Canis lupus familiaris: one gene and its partners. The protein of the gene in region 2 purifies or fractionates together with the protein of the main gene of each other region. This does not show direct contact. Links are inferred from orthologs where the notes say so. Each region holds a gene or a part of one and is shown on either strand. Other genes may lie near its edges.

Region 1 (7,308 bases), on a different chromosome or scaffold from region 2:
TCAAGCTGACTCCTCAATGCAAATGGAGCCTGATGTGGGGCTCGATCTCACCACCCTGAGATCATGACCTGAGCCAAAATCAAGAGTCAGATGCTTAACCAACTGGGCCACCCAGGCATCCCTCCACTTTCTAATTTATAAAACAAAGTGGGTCAATTTAGGTTTTTTTTTTTTTTTTTTCAATTTTTTTTTTTTTTTTTTCAATTTAGGTTTTTAAGACTCTTTCTAGAGCTTTGATTCTGCACAAGTCAATGAAGGAACTTGCCCAAGTCATTCAAAATATTAATTACAGCTAATATCTATTCAGTGCTTACTTTGGGCTAAGTGGGAGTAAAGAAGATAGTATGTAAGCTGGATCTGATAGGATGGAGAAGATTTTAATTGGCAGATACAGAGAACTGGTGAGAAAACGGGCAATTAAGGCAAAAAAGATCGGAAAATGTAAGGTAATTATATATAATAGTAAGTAGTAAGTTTTGGCTGAAGTGCTGCCAAGTAATAATCTTGCAACTCACTGGAGATCTTAAAAGAGGTAGATTTATAGGCCCTTTCTTTGAGGATTCTGACTCAGTAAGTCAACAGGTAGGGCCGATGGCCTGGGTACATCTTTTCAAGCTCTTCATGTGACTCTGATGTGCAGGATGCTTTGAGAACCAGTGTGATACAAAACACAAGAGACTAACATGGAATAGGGCTGTAAACTTAAGTTGGGCCCACATCATGAAAGGTTTTATGCAAAACTAGGATATTTGGACTTAGCCAATTAGATCTAAGTTTTTGCGTTAACTAAAATTTTATGTTTTTAGAATATGTAGTATGTACGTGTAGTAGATTCTTCAAGAGGCCACCAAAGGGAATTCAATCTCCTTTCCACCTTTGACCCCATAAGTCCCACTCCCTCAATCATTCAAGATTTTTTTTTTCATTCAGGACTTTTAATAAGAGAAATCACATCACAAGAGCCATGTATTGGGAAAACGAACCAAATAGAAATACTTAGGATGACCTATAATGGAGGCAAGTTTCTTTCTTTTCAACAGAAGTGAGAATGGTAACTAAGGAGGACAATGTAGAAGACGATCAAGGGCAGAAAACTCAGAACTATCCACATTAGGGAAGCAAAGATGAGTGAAACCAGGAGAGTCAAATGTCATGGAAACTCAGAGAGGAGACACTAAGGTAGGAAAAGAGGTCAAGCAGCATGAAGAGTGAAAAAAAAAAAGTTTCAGATTCTGTAATCAGAAAGAGGTCTTGGGGGGGGGGGGGGGGAAAGAGGGCAAATATCAGACAGCCAGGAAGTTAGAAATGAGTAGTAGGTGGTGAGTAAGTGAATATAGTAAGTGTCTTCTCTATTCCTGAGTAGTCTGATAGTGAGATGATGGCAAGAGATGGAACAGGCATATGGGGAAAAATGTAATGTGAATGGGCACCCTAGAGCTGGCAACTCTGTAGCTTTTCTGGTAGGAGAAGCAGTCAACACTTTTCAAGTAGAGGCAGATAGGATACATTTGCAGGGATAGGAGATGGAGCCTAGAGAAAGAGAATAAAGGTACAAGACAGCAGATAATTGACTTAGATCTGGTATGGGAAAGAAATGACACCTATTTTATACCTGGATTTAGAAAGCAAAGGAGGGAGGTGTTCCTCCTGACCCATAATGGAAGGGATGATTTAAGATATTTTGAGGTGAAGGGAGAATATATGGGTGTGACCCACAGCCTGTATTTTCTCAGGAAAGTAGATGTTCTAGCTGTCCCTCTTCTACAGAGCAATATTGCCTAAGTGAGGAGCCCAAAAACCTGGACACTGGACCAATATAAAAATATTCCTCCCCACCACCCTGCTCCATTTCAAGTTATTTAAAATTGTAGTTAGTTAACATATATGGTAAAATTGGTTTCAGGTGTAAAATTTAGTGATTTATCACTTATGTATAACAGTGCTCATCACAAGTGTCCTCCTTAATACCCATCACCCATTTTGGCTAGTTTTTTTTATTGAGCACATACTTTATGGTAGTTACTTTATTTAATCCTTACAACAATGCTAAGAAGTAGGTATATTATTCTTCCCATTTAAAAACTTGTACCTTCCTAATCTGCTCCTTTACCCCTGATTTAAAAATTAAAAATTTAAAGATTTTCTATATCATAGGTAATGAGAAAGTGATAAATCAGTTATTGGCATTTCTAGTCAAACATTTGAAATATTTGCAAGGGATACTTCCTAGAGGCAGGTGATTTTTCTAAGAGCTCAAGCTTATTTTAGAATCCTTCACTATGGATAGGCAGAATAGCTCACTCCCCAGAGATGTCTCCATCCTAATCCCATAACTTGTGAACAGGTTATGTGGCAAAAGGAAATTGTTACAGATAGAATCAAGTTTGCTCATCAGCTAATTTTGATATGGGAAGATTATCCTGGATTATTAGGGTAGGCCCAATATTAAAACAAGGTTTTGGTAAGTAAAAGAGGGAGGTGAGAGACAAAATCATAACGATGGCAGCAAAAGACTCCACCAGCTGTTGCTGGCTTTGAAGATGGAGGAAAAGGAATCAATCAAGGAATGTGGATGGCCTCTAGAAGACGAAAAATGCAAGGAAATGGACTTTTCGCTGGAGCCAACAATCCCTTGATTTTGGCCCAGTGAGATGTGTATTGGACTTGTGGCCGATGGGACTATGAGATCCTGCTGCTCTGTCATGCCCTTTCTCTTCAGACCCCAGGTACTCTCAAGAAAGGGTTGACATTTACATTTTAGTGTATGTTGATTTACCACTTACATCTTAAGTCCTATATCTAATAGACTCTATGTATATGAAGAATGTATACTTTGTTAAATTTAGCAGCAAACAACCAGGGGGAAAGCAATGTTTTGGGGAAGGTGAATGATCACAATTTCAATCACTTGTGGCTAAAAATCTATTCATCCTGCACTGGTCAACCTTGACCATAATGAATAGTAAGATTTGAGTGTTTGATAACCCCTTTTTATTCCCTTCCCTTCTAGTGACCCCTTTTCCCCTGGGCTAAAATGAGCTGTATTACTTACCTAAAAATATTCTGTGCCAGCCTTAACTACACACACAAAAAAGGACTTGGTTGTTTTTTAAATTCAATTTTGTTAACTTGCTAATGTTCCTTATTAAGAAATCGGTACTCACAAGTGGTCGAGATGGGCATTGTCTATGATAACGCAAGGAGGGGCTTCAGAATTCTTACGTCAAAAGGGGGAAGTGAACTTACAGATTTGGGTTCTATCTGCGCCCTATGCATTACAGCTGGAAGCGGTTCAGGCTGGCCAAAATCTGGGACTGCAGAGTTGAGGATTCTCTCCCACTCTGCAGATTCTAATATTTCACAAAGCTTCCCGTCTCTACCTGCACTACGTTGGCATGTTTTTATTTTTTCTCAGCAACTTATCAGTGGTGTCCTTGACATTGGTTTCCTGCATCTCACACCCCTGAGTACTATAAAGTCGGGCGGTAATCACTGTCTGAATTCGTGTTTTCTGAATGTAAAGCGGCTTGTCTTTAGGCTACGGAGGCTCCCTTTGGGAGGGCTTGCTCAGCCTTGCAGTTGAGGAAGTTCTGAGTATGCAGAAAGGGTTCCCGAGAGAGGGTCGGAACGCTCCCCTTACCGGAGGGCCCTCGCCTTCCACTGGATGGGAAGCAAACTCCGACTTCAGAGGCACGGGGTTTGGCCTGCCACCCAGAGCCTTCCTTCCCGGCGTCGCATCTCCCAGCGGGCCCACCGCTGATTCTGCACACCCCGACGCAGTCACCGGGGAGGCGGAGCAGGCTGGGACCAGGACAGCCAGCTCCCCGAAGTCACGTCCACAGCGCCCCGGGACGGCGGACGCTCCCCGGGTCCGCTCGGGCACGTCAGCTTCGGTGGGGGCAGGGGGCGCGCAGCCGGCAGCCTCGAGAACCAGCGACTCCGACGCGGACGCGCCAACCACTGCCGTTAACTTTGCCGCCAGCGGGACTTCCGGCGCGAGGCGGGGCGGCTGGCGGCTGGCGGCTGGCGGCTGGCGGCTTCCGGCTTCCAGGACCCCGTCCTCCTCCCGCCGCAGCCCGCCCCTCCTCCCGGCCCCGGTCCCGGTCCCGGTCCCGGACCCCCTCGCCACCCCGAGGCCCCGCCCCCTGCCCGGTCCCCCTCGCCACCCCGAGGCCCCGCCCCCTGCCCGGTCCCCCTCGCCACCCCGAGGCCCCGCCCCCTGCCCGGGTCCCCCTCGCCACCCCGAGGCCCCGCCCCCTGCCCGGTCCCCCTCGCCACCCCGAGGCCCCGCCCCCTGCCCGGTCCCCCTCGCCACCCCGAGGCCCCGCCCCCCTGCCCGGTCCCCCTCGCCACCCCGAGGCCCCGCCCCCTGCCCGGTCCCCCTCGCCACCCCGAGGCCCCGCCCCCTGCCCGGGTCCCCCTCGCCACCCCGAGGCCCCGCCCCCTGCCCGGTCCCCCTCGCCACCCCGAGGCCCCGCCCCCTGCCCGGTCCCCCTCGCCACCCCGAGGCCCCGCCCCCTGCCCGGTCCCCCTCGCCACCCCGAGGCCCCGCCTCCCGACCACTCAGGCCCCGCCCCCTGGCCCCTCCTTTCCCTCCTCCCCTCCCCCCGTTCCATCTAATTGTTGGATTGTCGGCGCTGCACTCCCGCTGGAGGCCGGCAGGGGGCAGGGTTCGAGCCTGGATTTTCTTCCGCCGGGCGTCCCCGGGGAGGCCGTCGCCGAGAGGGAGAGGGGGAGGGGGGAGGGGAGGGCGGGACGCGAGGACGCGGTTCGGTCGGCTGCTGCGCTACTTTTGGCCCCGGGTCGGCGGGGAGGCTGTGGCTGCCGCATCAGAGCTGACGTGGGGGCGACGCGGGGCCCCGGGGGCGCCGGGCTGCCGGGCTCGCCGTCCCCACCTCCTCCCGCCCGTAAGCAGTGACGACGGCCGCTACGTAAATCCCATCGCGGCGGGTAAGTGGCGCGCCGGGCGGGACCCGGCACCGCGGAGCCGCCGACGGCGCAGGAGGCGGGGGCCGGGAGCGAGGCGGGGGCCGGGAGCCAGGCGGGGGCCGGGAGCCAGGCGGGGGCCGGGGCGGGGCGAGCGGCAGCCGGGGGCGCGGAGAGGGCGGCGGCGGGGAGGGCAGGGGCAGCCCGACACCGCGGCCTCCGGACGGCGGCCCGGCCGCTGAGTCCCCCGCCCCGTCCCCCGCCCCCCGTCCCCCGCCCCCCGTCCCCCGCCGCGTCCCCCGCCCCGTCGCCCTCCGCGTCCCCGCCCGGTCTCCCGCCCGGGGCCCCCCCCGCCTCCCCATCCGCGCGCACCGCTTTCTGAGGCCCCCGCTGTCCCTCCGGGCGGCGCTCGCCCGTCCCCCCGCACTCCTACCGGGCCCGAGGCGGACAGTGTTTGGGGAAAGCCACCCGACCCGGAGGAGAGCGGACCCGGGCACCGAGGACGTCGGTCTCTACCGCCGGCGGCCCGCAGTGCCTGTGTCGGTTCTGCGCGCTCGGGTCCCGTGGGACAGCCTCCGTCCAGTCCCCCGTTCCTTCCCCAAAACCCTGCTTGGGGCCCGCATGCGGGCACCTTTAGTCTCCGGACACTGTGGGTGCGGGCTTGTCAGAGCTGCGGGGAGGGAGCAGGTCCGGGACGGCCGGGGGGCCGCGCTCCTGGGTCCCGCTGCCCCTAGACCCGGGCCTGCTGCCTGCGGGGGGGGGGGGCACATGGTCAGCACAGCCTGGGTCCCGCTGCCCCTAGACCCGGGCCTGCTGCCTGGGGGGGGGGGCACATGGTCAGCACAGCCTGGGTCCCGCTGCCCCTAGACCCGGGCCTGCTGCCTGGGGGGTGCGGGGGGGGCACATGGTCAGCACAGCCTGGGTCCCGCTGCCCCTAGACCCGGGCCTGCTGCCTGGGGGGTGCGGGGGGGGCACATGGTCAGCACAGCCCAGGGTCCTGCTGCCCCTAGACCCGAGCCTGCTGCTTGGGGGGGGGGGGGCACATGGTCAGCACAGCCTGGGTCCCGCTGCCCCTAGACCCGGGCCTGCTGCCTGGGGGGTGCGGGGGGGGCACATGGTCAGCACAGCCTGGGTCCCGCTGCCCCTAGACCCGGGCCTGCTGCCTGGGGGGTGCGGGGGGGGCACATGGTCAGCACAGCCTGGGTCCCGCTGCCCCTAGACCCGGGCCTGCTGCCTGGGGGGTGCGGGGGGGGCACATGGTCAGCACAGCCTGGGTCCCGCTGCCCCTAGACCCGAGCCTGCTGCTTGGGGGGGGGGGGGGCACATGGTCAGCACAGCCTGGGTCCCGCTGCCCCTAGACCCGGGCCTGCTGCCTGGGGGGTGCGGGGGGGGGGCACATGGTCAGCACAGCCTGGGTCCCGCTGCCCCTAGACCCGGGCCTGCTGCCTGGCGGGGGGAGGGGGCACATGGTCAGCACAGCCCAGGGTCCCGCTGCCCCTAGACCCGGGCCTGCTGCCTGGGGGGTGCGGGCGGGGGGGGCACATGGTCAGCACAGCCTGGGTCCCGCTGCCCCTAGACCCGGGCCTGCTGCCTGGGGGGTGCGGGCGGGGGGGGCACATGGTCAGCACAGCCCTGGGTCCCGCTGCCCCTAGACCCGGGCCTGCTGCCTGGGGGGTGCGGGGGGGGGGGGCACATGGTCAGCACAGCCCTGGGTCCCGCTGCCCCTAGACCCGGGCCTGCTGCCTGGGGGGTGCGGGGGGGGGGCACATGGTCAGCACAGCCCTGGGTCCCGCTGCCCCTAGACCCGGGCCTGCTGCCTGGGGGGTGCGGGGCGGGGGGGGCACATGGTCAGCACAGCCTGGGTCCCGCTGCCCCTAGACCCGGGCCTGCTGCCTGGGGGGTGCGGGGGGGGGCACATGGTCAGCACAGCCCTGGGTCCCGCTGCCCCTAGACCCGGGCCTGCTGCCTGGGGGGTGCGGGGGGGGGCACATGGTCAGCACAGCCCTGGGTCCCGCTGCCCCTAGACCCGGGCCTGCTGCCTGGGGGGTGCGGGGGGGGGCACATAGTCAGCACAGCCCTGGGTCCCGCTGCCCCTAGACCCGGGCCTGCTGCCTGGGGGGTGCGGGGGGGGGGCACATGGTCAGCACAGCCTGGGTCCCGCTGCCCCTAGACCCGGGCCTGCTGCCTGGCGGGGGGAGGGGGCACATGGTCAGCACAGCCCAGGGTCCCGCTGCCCCTAGACCCGGGCCTGCTGCCTGGGGGGTGCGGGCGGGGGGGGCACATGGTCAGCACAGCCTGGGTCCCGCTGCCCCTAGACCCGGGCCTGCTGCCTGGGGGGTGCGGGCGGGGGGGGCACATGGTCAGCACAGCCCTGGGTCCCGC
Region 2 (6,404 bases):
AGATATTCAACATCTGTAGTCATTAAGGAAATGCAAATCAAACCCCACTGGGATGGCTTCTGAAAAAAAAAAAAGCACCCAGAAAATAACAAGTGTTATCAAGGATAAGGAGATATTGGAACCCTCGTATATTGTTGTGAGAATATTTGATGGTGCAGCTACTGTGCAAAACAGTTTGACAGTTCTTGAAAAAGTTAAACATAGAACTATTATATGATCCAGCAATTTCACTCCTAGGTATATACCCCAAAGAATTGAAAACAAGCCATCAAACAAATACTCATAACGGAATATAGCACTCATCACAATAGCTAAAATGCAGGAACAACCCAAATATTCATTATGATATAGAGTAAATAATGGAATACTATTCAGCCATTAAAAGGAATTAAGTAGTGGTATATGCTACAACATAGATGAACTGCAAATATGCCAAATGAAAGAAGCCAGACGCAAAAGGCGACATATTGTATGCTTCCAATTATATGAAATGTACAGACTAGGTAAATCCATAGAGACAAAAGATTAGTGGTGGCCAGGGCATGGGGACAGGGAGGATTTAATGAGTATGGTTAGTAGGTATAGGGTCTCATTTGGAGGTGATCAAAATGTTTTGGAACTAGATAAATGGTGATGCACAACATTGTAAGTTTACTAAATGCCACTGAACTGTACAATTTAAAATTGTTAATTTTCTGTGAATTGCACCTCAAAAAACAAGTCATGAAGGTATGGTTCCCTGCTGCAGAGGAGGCAGCATGGCCTCTGGGTCTCCACGGAAGTTAGAGCCATGCATGTTCCTCCTCCTGCTGTGGCAGAGAAGCTGGAGTTGCTTTTGATTTGAGTGGTGGTGAGTAGCTACTTCACAGCCCTCTGTAGCCACTGTGGGGGAGTTCTAGAGAGCTGGGTGGGGCATGGTGGGGGCAGCTCCGGTCAGACACCCCCACCCCCACCCCCACCCCTAGCAGGCTGCAGAGGCTGGCTTTGTGGTTGTGGACCACTCTGTCATATATTTCTGTGGAGCTTAGGGCAAAATACCCCAAATCTTGAGAGGCTCATCTCCTATAGCCAGACAAGTAATGGAAGGCCAAGTGTGAGTCTGGTAATTTGAAGTCTCCCTGGAGTTTCTCTTCCCCATTTCATCCATCTTAGAAGATCCAGCTCTTGACAGTTTATCATCTGAAATCCAGATGTATTAATATCCATGCTATGTACTCTTACTGCAGCATCCATTTATCTTTTAGAAAAAAATACTATCTTCCAGTCAATGAAATTGATGTTTAAATTTTTAGTCATGTGTTTGTATGTTCATTAGTTGATGCCTTTCCCCTCCTTTCTCATGACAAGGTGCCCTAATAGGTGCTCAATAAATATTGTCTGAACAAATGAGTAACCACACTTTTTTTTTTTTTAAGGTGAACCTTGGCACTACCACTTGATGGCAGTTGGACACAGGAAAGGCTATGTAACCCATTTAAGTTCCGTATCCTTAGTTCACTAAATGTCTATAATAACAACAGCGCCTTGCCGGGTGTTGAGGCTGGAAAGAGGAAGGGGGAAGTGCCCACATAGATGTGTTTTCAGGGCCTACGGACTTGCTTCAGAGAATTCTAACCCAACAATAAAAAGGCAGAAACTGGTTTTTTTTTTTAACCTTTTATATACCAATATATAAATGGAAATACAAATGGAAATTTAAGGGAAAGGGAAGGCTGATTTTTTTAAACACTGTCTACAGTGTTAAAAAGTGGTATTTGATAAAGGCAAGCATGCAGGGAAGAGTTGGGTTGGGTGGGGTAATTCATTTTTGTTGATTGAAGATCAAAACCACTTGATCTGTCTTTAGAGCTCAATTCTTGAAGTCCGGGCTGTCTGCACAAAGAAAAACACATTAGAACCTCGAAGTCAAGGCTGCGTGATCCATCCCGCCTTCCTCTCGTTAGTCTCCCACCTGGTATTCAAACACATATGCGTGAGGCTTCGCTGGCCTCTCAATATCCACCACCCGTCAGCACAGGGTCTGTCCCTCAAGGCTGGACCCTGCCCGCGGCCCTACTCCCCAGCGTCGCGAACAGCGCACCGCGTCCACCGCGCGGCGGGCTGCTCGGGCTCGCCGAGCTCGGGCCCGCCAGGCTGGGGCATGGAGGGCGCGCCACGCCGCCCACGGGCTTGCGGCAGGAAAACCCCAGTATATAACGCGTGCTGAGGGTTTGACCCACGCGGCGCCGCCGGGCGCCGGCCACGAAAATACCGTCCGGCTCTTCGCGTATCCGCAGGCATCTCTTGCACCTGATGCGCGGAGCGACTCCGCGACACCGTAAGCAGGGGGCCCCTGAGGCTCACGAGCGCCTGGGCAGGGTAGGAACCTTCGGCTCCAGTCCTGTTGTCTTTCTCTCCAGGTTCCCTCTCCCCAACCCACTAATGTCTTCCTAAAGTTTCTCAAACCAAATCCACGTTTCGACCGTAACACCCTTTCTTTGACTACTGGCTGGAACTTTAACTGGCCTCTGTGCCTTCCTCTCTGATCTGGCTGTGTGCGCGCTCCTGCCTGCCTTTGGTCCTCCTAAGCCGCTAGGGTCCCTGCGCTCGAGAGTGTCTCCGCCCCCCGTGGTTAATTTCATCAGTCGGGCTCTCCGACCCCTCTGAGCCTCTCTTCCCATTCAGACTTGACTCTTAGCCATCACATTGGTTTTTACAGACTAACTCTGTGAAAATACATTGTGTATTGCTTAAAGTGTGTTTCCCAGAATGTAAGCTCGATGAGGGCAGGACTCCTGTTTTGTCTCATTCACTTTAAGTCCCATTTAAATGGAGCCGAATGGCGTAGTAGGATGAAGAGGAGGAAGGGAAGGTAGGAAGAAAGGCGTGGGTAGACTTGTGTGCTTGGGTCAAATCTTAGTTTTGCTCATAAAGGGTTACCCTCTCTATTTGCGGGTGGCCCAGTTCTGTCCTCTAACCCTTCCACCTCTTCAGCTCCTCCCAGTTCTTGCTCGGCGCAACCCGCCCTACCATTGGTCCCTCGCCCCGCGCTGTGTCTGGAGGCGAACTTCAGTTGGGGGCGAGGGAGCGCGCGCTCGCTGGGTAGGCTAAAGGAGATCTTGGCGAGCTTCTCACGTCCAAGGCACAAAACTCGCTACCTCAATGGTCTAGGGCCCAGAGCGAGCCTCTTTGCTCTGTTCGCTCACGCCCAACTAAGGTGCAGAGGGTCTAATGCCCCGATTCTGAGCCAACATGGGCTAGATCTCAGTATCTTCTCAGCCATGGTTTACCTTAAATATTTGTGTTAATTTCTTATATAGCTAATGGTTCTCCCTTCAGAAAAAGATCAGTGAGGTGGGTATACTTCAGGAAGGCAGGAGTGGAGGTGGAGAATGGGGTCCCCAGAGAAGAAGGCCTTGTGGTTGTGGAAGGAGAAGGAGAGGAGAATCACACGGCCATCTCCCCCGTCTCAGCGATCTCTCTCGCAGAGAAGAAAAAGCTTAAGAGAGGGTCTCTGCTTCTCAGAGAGTGTAGCAAATCCCCGTGTGCAGACTGCCAGGGTTGGAGGGGTCTCTCCCCCTTGGGCAGCTCTGGAAAACAACTCGGGATAGAGCAGAAGGTGGAGTTTAGTAAAATTTTGCAGTGGTGGGGGGAGGACAGATTTCTGCCAGATGACGCCTCGCGCAAAGGCTTTTTATGGGGATGGTCCTGCTACTTAGATACGCTAATACGGAAACTGAGGAGAGCTGAATGGATGCTGCTGCCAGCTAGTCTGGAGGAAGAGGGGGGTCACTAGACCTCTAGCCTCTTGAGTCGTCAATATTCCACAGTCTAGGCCCTGAGCTGTGGGAAGGGTGAGTGTTTGGGAGAAATAAGGGCACGATTTATGAGATGGGCTTTAACGTGTGGAAATCCCTCTAAGCTATTTCCTATCCGCAGCGCAAGCAAGGCAGCGCGATTGGGACAATAGGGTTGTCCTACAGGTTGGCAGTGAGAGCTGCAGCGAGACACAAGACCTTGCTCTCCTAGAATCAGCTTTCTCTTCTGAAAAAGGAGTGCTCTGGGCTGCGGAAGCTCTCCGAGTTCCAACTCAGATGTGGCACCTCACCTGCGTGACCTTCCGCACCTTCCGTACGGGCGTGGCTACCACTTTCGGTGCCCCCCGCGGCTGCGCGCAGGTACGCAGCGACAGCGCCGTGGCCCCGCTCCTCAGCCAGGTCCACGGGCAGGCGGCCCCAGGCATCGCGCACGTCCAGCCGCGCCCCGGCTCGGTGCAGCACCACCAGCGTGTCCAGGAAGCCCTCCCGGGCCGCGTCGTGCACAGGGCGGGTGAGGGTGACGGGGTCGGCACAGTTGGGGTTGGCGCCGTGGAGCAGCAGCAGCTGGGCCACGCGGGTGCTGCCCATCATCATGACCTGCCGGGAGAGCAGAGTGGTCAGGACAGGGACAGGGGGCAGGGGCAAGTTTAAAGAACCTATTTGTGAAGCCCCTACCCCATGCAGATGCCGCTACAAGCCACGGGCGTCTATTTATTCTATTTGCTTTCAGTTACCACCTCCCTTAGACAGTTCTGCTTATTCCATTTTTCTGTCCACATTGAATTCCATTATATTCTCCAAACTTTTGCGGAATTCCAGCCACACCCTATTGTCTGTCAGAGGCATGACAATAGCAAAAGAGTGAGAGACGAACTGGCTTGAACTATAGCCTAACCTCCTATAGCCCCCCCACCCATTTTGATACAAAATTATATAAGGCCCAGAGATTTTGTATGGTTTTCTGTTGTATATCCAAGCCCAGGACATAATAATTGTTAAAAAGTGAAAGTGAAAACAACAACAAATCTTTAATTCCTAAAAAACTTTTAATATACACTTAGCCTACCAGAATGTTAAAATTCACTCTAAGTATAAAATGAGGGTTCTCTAACCAGCCCCCAAATTCCTTCCCATAATGAGCTGAAGAATGTCCCCAAAGATGTGTACTACCTAACACTTGAAAGCTGTGAATATAATACCTTACATGGGAAGAGAGGCTTCCCAGATGTGATTAAATTAAGGATTTTGAGAGAGATTAACATGGATTATCAGGATGGGCCCAATGTAATCACAAATTCCCTTATGAGGTTACAGAAGAAAGATCTAAGAATGGAGGTCAGAGAGAAGAAGATGCAGGGACCATGAGCACAGGAATGTTGATGGCCATTAGAAGTTGGAAACAGATTCTCCCCTAGAACTTCCAAAAGAAATGCAGCATTGTGGATCCATTTTAGACTTCAACCTCCAGAACTATAAGATAATAAATTTATGTTGGTTTGAGACACAAAAGTTGTGGTAATTTGTTACAGCAGAAATAGGAAACTAAGAAACTTCCCAAGTTTATATACTCTGAGAGTTCATTAAACAGGAGGTGCTCCCTTCATTTGTTTGATAAATCGTCTTTGAAACAAAGTCATTACCAAAGAGGATTTTTTAAATAGTATCTACAATCACAGCAACCTTACAATTTGAGTGTTACATGGCAGATGGCAGTGGTAGATAATTTTCTTTTAGGCTAACCACTATTTGATTATATTAGCTAGACTTATAGTGACTGTATAAAAAGGAATTATTTTTAATTACATTCTGCATTAAACGTAAATAATTATTTCTCTAAGCCAAGGAACATCTGCGAAGCCTCTTTTCCCATGTAAGGTAACATACACTTAACTGATTTTAAAGGTTTTCATTATATTTTGCAGTATTAAAGTATGAAAGAAACCTAACACTTAAATACTTAAATCTAAATAGCAATCCAAAGCTGAAAGAAAAAGAATCGATTAAATGAATATTTGTAGAGTGCTTAAATCCATTTGATAAGATATTTAAAGTAATTATAATTTTCTATAAACTAATTAGTTTTGTATTAAACACAAGGTTGGTTAGGGTTCTAAACCAAAACCATGCACTCTTTTCTCTATGTTCTTATTTTCCCTATTAAAAAAATTGTTAAAACTAATTATCCAACTTTTTTCTTTTTGTATTTAAACAAAGTCTCTTCAAACATATTCCAAACTTCAAGGCCACACTCAGTCTCTGAGCAAAATCTTAGAGAAATGAGAAATCATGCATGCATTCTTTTTAAAGGACTCATGGTTTTCTTCTACCATCACACAACCTCTCTACTCTCAAAATCCCTTCACACTTAAAATCCCAAATAATCTCAAGTTTTAAGGCATTTTGTTTTTATTTTTATATATGTATGTTAAGGTATATAAAATTTATCCTATGTAGCATTGTTTCAGGAAAGGAAGATGACTTGTGAAATCTGTGCAATTGCAGGTACAGTTACTTTCCTTTGTCTTGTTATGCTTGAATTTGTGCAGTGAGCCTTTGTTTCACATACATTTTATTTTTCACAATCCAAAATCATTGTCAACACTGGGA
Region 3 (7,405 bases), on a different chromosome or scaffold from region 2:
TAGGGTCCTAATCCAAGAAATGATCGCCAAATCCAGTATCGTAAGGACTTTCCCCTACATTTTATTCTAAGTATTTTACAGCTTTAGCTCTTTTTTTTTTTAAGATTTTATTTCTTTATTCATGAGAGAGAGAGAGAGGGGCAGAGACACTGGCAGAGGGGGAAGCAGGCTCCATGCAGGGAGCCTGACGTGGGACTCAATCCTGGGACCCCAGGGTCACATCCTGAGCCGAAGGGAGACGCTCAACCCAAGCCCCCAGGCGCCCACAGCTTTGGCTCTCCTGTGTAGTTAGGACTTTTGAGTTTTGTGCGTGGTGTGAGGTAAGGGGTCCAGCTCCCTTCTTTTACCTGCGGAAGTGCTTTTCAAGCCAGCCCCGAGCCCTGCCCGCAGACCTCCTCCCCACAACGTGGCCTTGGGCAGACACCCGGGGGGGGGGGGGGGGGGGGGGGGAGGCTCCAGGCAGCTCGGGGGCGTACCCCCCACCCCCCCACCCCGCCTCATGGGGCAGGGGCGTAGGGCAGCCAGCATCCTTCCTCCTCAGGGTCTTAGACCCACTGACTGCACAGAGGCCTCACCTTCTCCAAGATTCAGCTTCTCCTTTGTACCCAGGGAACTGGACCCAACCCGCCTGTCTCTCCCACAGGGACTGCTGCACTATGAGCGCACAGCAAGGTCCCCAGCACCCTGGAAACGTCACGCGAGGTCCAGTCCAACTGCCTCCAACCTCACCCCATGGCGCCCTCCCGCTCTGGCTCTGCCGCGGCTACACGGGCCTTTACCGGTCCCCGTCCTCCTTCAGGCCTGTTTGGACGTCACCCCATCGGAGACTTCGCGGACGGCACCATCTAACCCAGATGTGTTCCCAGCTGCACAACTGCTCCCCGCACGCCCCGTGGCTTTAAACAGGGCACTTTGCGGTCGTCTCCCTTTCTTGCGTCAGGAGCGGGGCTGAGTGTCACAGGCCGGGGCTGCCTTCTCCTGCCCTCAGCTGAGGCTCGGGCCTTCCTGCAAGCTCAGTCCCCCGCTGTGGAAGGCCTGAGGTCCCCACTTTCTTGCTGGCCGTCATGGGGGCGGTGGCCCTCGCGGGCTCTAGAGGCCGCCCATTGTTCCCTGCCCGCGGCCCAGTCTACACGGTCAGCGCGCCTCCCATCAGGGCTGGACAAACGTGATGATCCTGACAGCCTGTGCGCCAGCCCGTGAGCGCAGGAACGGCCCAGGACGCAAGCCTGGAGGTCGCCTCCTGCGCATCCCCTGCCCTCCTCCACCTAAATGCCAGATGCTCCTCCTCCAATTTTTTTTTTTAAAGATTTACTTACTCATGACAGACACACAGAGAGAAGGGCAGAGACACAGGCAGAGGGAGAAGCAGGCTCCCTGCAGGGAGTCCAACGTGTGTTTCGATCCTGGGTCCCCAGGATCACACCCCGGGCCGAAGGTGGTGCCAGACCGCTGGGCCATCGGGGCTGCCCTGCTCCTCCGATCCTGACTCTCTTCCCAGCATGAGGACAGCTTTCCCCTAGGAGGGCAGTTCTTCCTGCTGTGGTTGGACCTTGGCCATCAGAGCCAAGGGGCCGCACTTCCCATCTCCGGGTATCCCCTCCTCACGCATAGACAGGACCTGCTCTTAGTTTCCTTCTCTGCAACCTTCCATGGCTCCCCAGGGCCCACAGGGTCAGGCCCAGGCCACCCTTGGTGGTCGGCCTCCCCGAACGACACCCCTGCTCCCTCTCTGCCCTGTCTGTGCAGAGCCCACGAAGGCCCATGGGTCTCCTCTCTTGCCTCCAGCAGCGGCCACCGCTCTTTGTCAGGTGTCTTCCCCACACAGCCTGGTGCAAACCTGGCATCTGCACAAGGATGGGCCCGAAGCCCATGCTCCTTGGCAGGAAGCCACTAGAAAGTGGGCCGTGCAGCAGGCTCTCCTGGGGTTCTCGTTAAAACACACACTCCCGCCCGCAGGACCCCTGGGCTCTGGTGAATCAGAAGCCCCAGGAAACAGGTGTCTCAGATAAGCCCCAGATGGTCCTGACACTCTCAGGTGCAGAACTGCAGCTGCCTGGGGGAGGGGCAGGGCGGCAGCGGCCCATGGGGGTGGCCCTGGGGATTCAGGAGCCGACAGCCCGGCGGAGTTCAGGCCTGGCGGGGACGTGACCGCTTATACTTGGCTCATTGGTCACCGGGGCGGCGGTCACTCTAGCCAAGCCCCAGAGGCCACTGCTGGCCGGGGTGGGGGTGGGTGGGGTGGTGACCTAGGCCCCGCATCAGGGGGACGCCCTCATTTTACTCCCCAAGTAACAGGAGGGCTGGGAGCGGCGCGGCTTGCATGCCCTGAGCAGCCGCTGGACACGGGGCCTGTGGTCCCTGCCCCTGGGGAAGCCTGAGCACGGTGCCAACTACGGGGCCCCGGGGGAGAGAGGGAGGGAGGGAAGGGAGAGGAGGGGAGGGGGAGGGGGGAGAAACGGAGGAGGGAGGGAAGGGGGAGGGGAGGGAGGGGGAGGGGGCGTGCAGGCCCGCCGCTCCGGCATTCCAGTGCCCCCACCCGCGACCTGCAGCCCGGGGCCGCGATGCCCTCCAGCGGCCCCTGCGCGGGGATGGGGGTGCCCGAGACACCCACCGCTGCTTGACCCCTAGGCGCCCACCGGGGCAGCGGACTGACCTCGGAAGGCGCCCCCCCACACACACCTGGGGTTCGGGCGACGAGGCGGGCCCGACGGGGAGACGCCCGGCGGACCGGGAGGGGCCGCGGTTCGCTCCGCCCGCCGTCCGCTCTCCTCCCCTCCCTTATGCGCCCGCGGCCCCGGCGGCCCGCCCCCGGGTTAGGGAGCGTCAGCACTTGTGGTCCCGTCGGTCCGGCGGGCGCTCGGCCTCCTGTGCCGGGTCGACTCATTGGGCGGCTTCGCCGGGCGCCCCGCCCCGGGCCCGCAGCTGGCCAATCGCAAGGGGTTTCACAGGCCGCCGTGCTCCGGGGACCGTCACCGCGCTGCGACGCTTCGGGGATCCTTAGGCCTCAGTGGGCTTTTCTCCCCCGGCCCCTGATCCCAGCCCCAAGGAGACCTCCGGGGCCCGTGCGCGGGCAGCTGCCCGCGCGGCATCCGGGGGGCCCTCGGCGGTCTCGGCCTCCGCCGGCCCCCGCTGCCCGCCGGCGTGTCCTCGGGTGGACGCGCGCGTCGCGAGGGGGAGTTTGCAGACGCTCCCTCCGGTCGGGGACGCGGCTCCTTTAAGGGCGCAGGTGTCCGCGGCGCCGCCCGACGGGAAAGCCTCCGCCGACCCAGGCTCCGGAGCCGCACCCGGGGCGGGGGCGCGCGGCGGCAGGGCGCGGGCGGCGGGCGGCGCGCGGCGGGCGGGGCGGCGCGGGGCGCGGGAAGGCGGCGGCGGCGCGCGGGGCAGGCGCGCGGCGGGCAGCCCCCGTAGGCCCCGCCCCGCCCCGCCCGCCGGGGGTCCTCGGAGCGCTCGGGCTGCGCGCGGAGCGGGCTCGGGAGGGAAGTCCCGAGACAAAGGGAGCGCCGCCGCCGCCGCCGCCGCCGCCTCGTCCGCCTCGCTCGCCGGGCCGCGGCCGCCCGAGGTGAGCGCGGGGGCGCGGGCGGGCGGCGGGGGGCGCGGGCGGGGGCCGGCCTCGGGGCGCGGGGCCTCCGCCGCCGTCGGGCCCGGCCGGGCGCCTCCCCCAGCCCCGGCCCGCCCCGCGCCCCCCCCGCCCGGAGCCGGGCCGCCTCAGTCCGCGGCGTGCGCCCCCCCCCGCCCCGGGGTCGCGGCCCGCCGGCCCCTCGAGCCCCGCGCGCGCCCGGCCGGGAGCGCGGAGAACGGCCCCCCGGCGCGTGCCCGGCGCGGCCCCGGAGCTGCGGCCGCGGTTGACAGGGATGCGAGCCCGCCCGCCGCCGCTGCCGCCCGCGGGATCCGTTTCCGGGGTCACGGCCCGCCCGCCGGCCGCGGAGCTCGTGCGCGGGGCCCCGACGCGCCAGGCGCCCCCCGCCCCGAGCCCCGCGGGGTCTCCCGGGGCCGAGCGCAGGGGGCCGGGCCTGCACCTGCTGGGGCCGGGGCGCCTGCGGACCCCGGGGCCCGCGGAGGAGTCGGCAGCCCCGGCCCCGCGGACCCCAGCTTGCTCCTGCTTTGCTTACGGGGTGCGGGGCGCCGGGCGGTCGGAGCCTGGGGAGCCCCGAGGTCAGGGACCCGGCCTCCGAGTCGGCGCCCGGGGTCCCGGGAGCTGTCGGGGGGCGGGCGGCCAGGTAGGTGCCTCTGCCGGGTGCAGCAGGTCCCCCCCTCGGGGAGCGCCGCCCAGGACGGCCCGGGCGGGGCTCCCACTCGCAGCGTGTCTGCGTCCCGCACAGGCCCGAGGGGTCGCAGTGCTGCGCCCATTTCACAGATGAGACCGAAACCGTCCGGACGGGAGATGAGTGCCTAGCCCAAACCCCGGCAGCCAGGGCAGCCAGGAAGCGGCTCTGAGGTCTGTACCCTCAGGTCGCGGAGCACAGCGCCAGGGGAGTTCACCGAGAGTCCACGCCGCTGCGGGAACCCTGGCGGGAGGTGGCTGTGCCTGGAGGGCCCGCTCCCGTCCTCGGGCTGTCTCCCCGGCCTGGGGATGGGTCGTCCCATCTCCCGGCGTCTGGCTCGCACCTAACCACCCCCCTGAGTGCCTCTCTGTGAGCTTGTCCCGGGGAGATGTGGTCTTAAGTGGGATTCTGAATGAGAGGTTGCCTGCTGTGGTTGAAATGTAGCAAACTGGAGGCTGGTGGGAGTGGGAGCATGTCTGAGCCCAGGTGTGTGCTGGGGACAGGGCAGCTGTGCACCTGTGGCTCTTTGTCCCGCCGGCAGAAACCCACCCCGGTCTGGCCCAGCAGCACCCCCGCGGCAGGAGCTCTCCTGCGACCACCCCTCCTGACTTCCCCCAACCTGGGACACCCTCACACAGGCCCTGGGGCAGGGCCTCCATGGGCGGTCCTGTCCAGTCTTCAGGGCAGAAGAGGTGGCAGGGTTGTGCCACGGGTACGCTTGCAGACGGCGCTCAGGACGGCCTGGCCTGGCCTGGCAGGGCCTGCCCCCAGCCCCCACAGAGCGCCCCGTGTTGGGGAGCTCCGGCCTGGGGCTTCAGAAACCTGTTTAGATGCCTGGCAGAGCTTAGGCTCACCGGGGACCTTGCATCTCAACTACAGAACTGCTTACCAGGCTGCTTGTCTTTGGTCGCTGAGGCTCCGTGTTGGTTAATTCAGCAGAAGGTTCCTGCCAACTTGCACTGTCTGCTTCCCCGGGGGGGTGAAGGGGGTGCTCCGGTGATCATGCTGTGTGCGCCAGGGAGCTCGGGGGCAGGAGTGTTTTGTGCCCTCGAACCTCCTGCAGGGAAGGGCATTTCCACTGACCCAAGGCTTGGGGTTGGCTCAGATTCCACGGAGAAGGACCAGTGGAAATGAAGGTTTTGAGAAACTTGTAGAAGTAAAGCATCTTCCGGCATCGGGGTCCCTGCCCGCTTCTAACCAGAGAACACTTGGGAGGCAGACTGGCCTACGCTCCTGCAAGCCCTAATCCTCCTCCTCAGGATCAGCGCTCGCCCTTGTTGCACTGCTGGGCCCCCGCCTCTGGCCCAAACAAATATTCCAGACGAGTGTGCTGTCCTGTGAAGGAGATCTGGGCAGGGGTGCACCTTGCTGGTCCCAAACTCCCCCTGGCAGGTGTTCCTGGCGGCCAGGTCCGTACACGGATGGGGACGAAGGGGGCAGACTAGGATTCTGGGATCATGTGGTGAATTGCAGTTCTGTTCTGGGTCAGCATGCTGTTGTCTATATCGAACGTAGTCTTGAGGTCAGTTAAGATCAGAACCTCGTACAAGGTGTGCTCTGGCGTCACGGTGCCAAAAGCTGCAGGCGGCAGCCCCGGGCGGGGGGGTGTCGTCATCATGTCATGCTTTCTGAATGGAGGGCTGTGATTTTTGACTTTTTGTTTTTCTTATAAGCTAAGTACATGGTTTTTAAAACGGGACCCCATCTAGTTGGTCTGGCGGTTTGTCATAACTCAGCCAGCTTCCTGAGACCTGGTCTCTTGCATGACACCAGGGACTACAGTCGTGTTCTGCAGTGGTGATTCCCAGACCCTTCCTCCTACTTGGCTTACTTCTTGGGAAGAGAATTGACCGAGAGCCTCCCAGACCCCAGGCACTAGGTCTCGCCCAGAGTTCTGACGTAAGGCCACAGGGGTCTGGGACGTGCATTTTTGACAGGCACACAGGGCCACACCTGGAGAGCCAGAGATAGCAAGGTCCAGGGCCTGTGTCCGCTGAGCTGTTGGTCTCACCCCTGCTGCATGACGGTGTGGGCTCTGGGCAGGGGACTGTGCTGCTCAGGGACCGGGAGGGGGGTGGCTGGGGTGGGGGGTAGGTGTTGGGGCAGAGAGCATGATATGGATTGGACTGCTGAGGGGCAGTTGAGGGTGTGTGAGCTGGGTTTGAGTTGAGGCTCCACACTTAGCCAGGGCCCTACCTTCTGGTCGTTCCCAGGTCTGTCGAGCCTGGTGGGGAAGCAGGGGTGTAGGTGAACCTGAGCCCAGGAACATGGCTGGGAGGTGGTTCTCCTGAACCCAACTGAAAACCCTGGTAGTTGTGGAGAACCCCGCATTGTACTCAGGAGCGTGGGTTGTTGGACCTTTAACCCCATAAGAGCAGAGCAGAGACTTGTTGCCAGGTGTCCATGAAGCCTGCCTGAAGGGTTGGGGCAGGCTGCTGTCATCCCCTTCTAGGAGACACCCTCTTTGTCTTGTTAAAGCCTTGTTTATGGTAAATGTTGGATTCTAGGAGTCCTCGATGTTTCCATGGACTTTGAAGAGCAGCAAACAGACTCAGGGCAAGATTCTCCCAGGGCAGGAGGGAGCCAAGGGCAGCTGGGGGCGCCCCAGCCTGTTCTTTGCTGGGTGAGCGGCAGCCCAGAGAGTCTGTTCCACCTGCAGGCTGCGCACAGGTGTGCTCAGCGGGCGCCAGGCCACTGGTGGGAACAGCCAGAGGCACCAGGCCTTGGGGGCTCGGAGCTGCCGTCTCCCACAGCCAGCACGCTCCCAGGACAGGTGGACGCTGGGCAGGCTGTGGGCTGGCCACTCACCTCCTGCTGACTCCCTGAGTAAATGGGAGATAGGCCTTGATCCATTTGTTGTTTGTGGGGCGGCTGTGGATCTGGGGGCAGGGGGTGGCTGTGGGATGGGTAAGTGGAGACGGCAGTGGGTAGCGCCTGGGGCCCTGGTGAGAGGTGGGTCTCTTGGGTGCTGGGGGCTGGGTGCTGTCCAGGGACTTGCGCATGATGCGGTGTGAACTGATGTCCGCCCTGGGGCACCTTTGTACTCCATTGCTTTCAAGAATAAGTGTGGTTTGGGCAGCCCCAGTGGCCCAGCAGTTTGGCGCCACCTTCAGCCCAGGGTGTGATCCTGGAGACCCGGGGTC

Evidence for each region.
Region 1: the proteins of CDKN2A (region 2) and CUL2 purify together in Homo sapiens (affinity purification with western blotting; 3 studies listed by BioGRID, with this or other methods). This does not show direct contact. The link is inferred for Canis lupus familiaris from reciprocal best matches to the Homo sapiens genes CDKN2A and CUL2.
Region 3: the proteins of CDKN2A (region 2) and UBE2I purify together in Homo sapiens (affinity purification with western blotting; 3 studies listed by BioGRID). This does not show direct contact. The link is inferred for Canis lupus familiaris from reciprocal best matches to the Homo sapiens genes CDKN2A and UBE2I.

What each region holds. Positions count from the first base shown.
Region 1 is NC_049223.1:2,046,984-2,054,291, reverse strand, and holds the start of CUL2 (cullin-2), read right to left. Parts: upstream 3,979-7,308; 5' UTR 3,641-3,978; intron 3,230-3,640; exon of another isoform or gene 3,053-3,229; intron 1-3,052.
Region 2 is NC_049232.1:41,335,402-41,341,805, forward strand, and holds the end of CDKN2A (cyclin-dependent kinase inhibitor 2A), read right to left. Parts: intron 4,395-6,404; coding exon 4,088-4,394; intron 1,873-4,087; coding exon of another isoform or gene 1,869-1,872; coding exon 1,843-1,868; 3' UTR 1,677-1,842; downstream 1-1,676. UniProt on the Homo sapiens protein: Acts as a negative regulator of the proliferation of normal cells by interacting strongly with CDK4 and CDK6. This inhibits their ability to interact with cyclins D and to phosphorylate the retinoblastoma protein.
Region 3 is NC_049227.1:39,921,927-39,929,331, reverse strand, and holds the start of UBE2I (SUMO-conjugating enzyme UBC9), read left to right. Parts: upstream 1-3,427; 5' UTR 3,428-3,559; intron 3,560-4,160; exon of another isoform or gene 4,161-4,217; intron 4,218-4,324; exon of another isoform or gene 4,325-4,435; intron 4,436-7,405. UniProt on the Homo sapiens protein: Accepts the ubiquitin-like proteins SUMO1, SUMO2, SUMO3, SUMO4 and SUMO1P1/SUMO5 from the UBLE1A-UBLE1B E1 complex and catalyzes their covalent attachment to other proteins with the help of an E3 ligase such as RANBP2, CBX4 and ZNF451.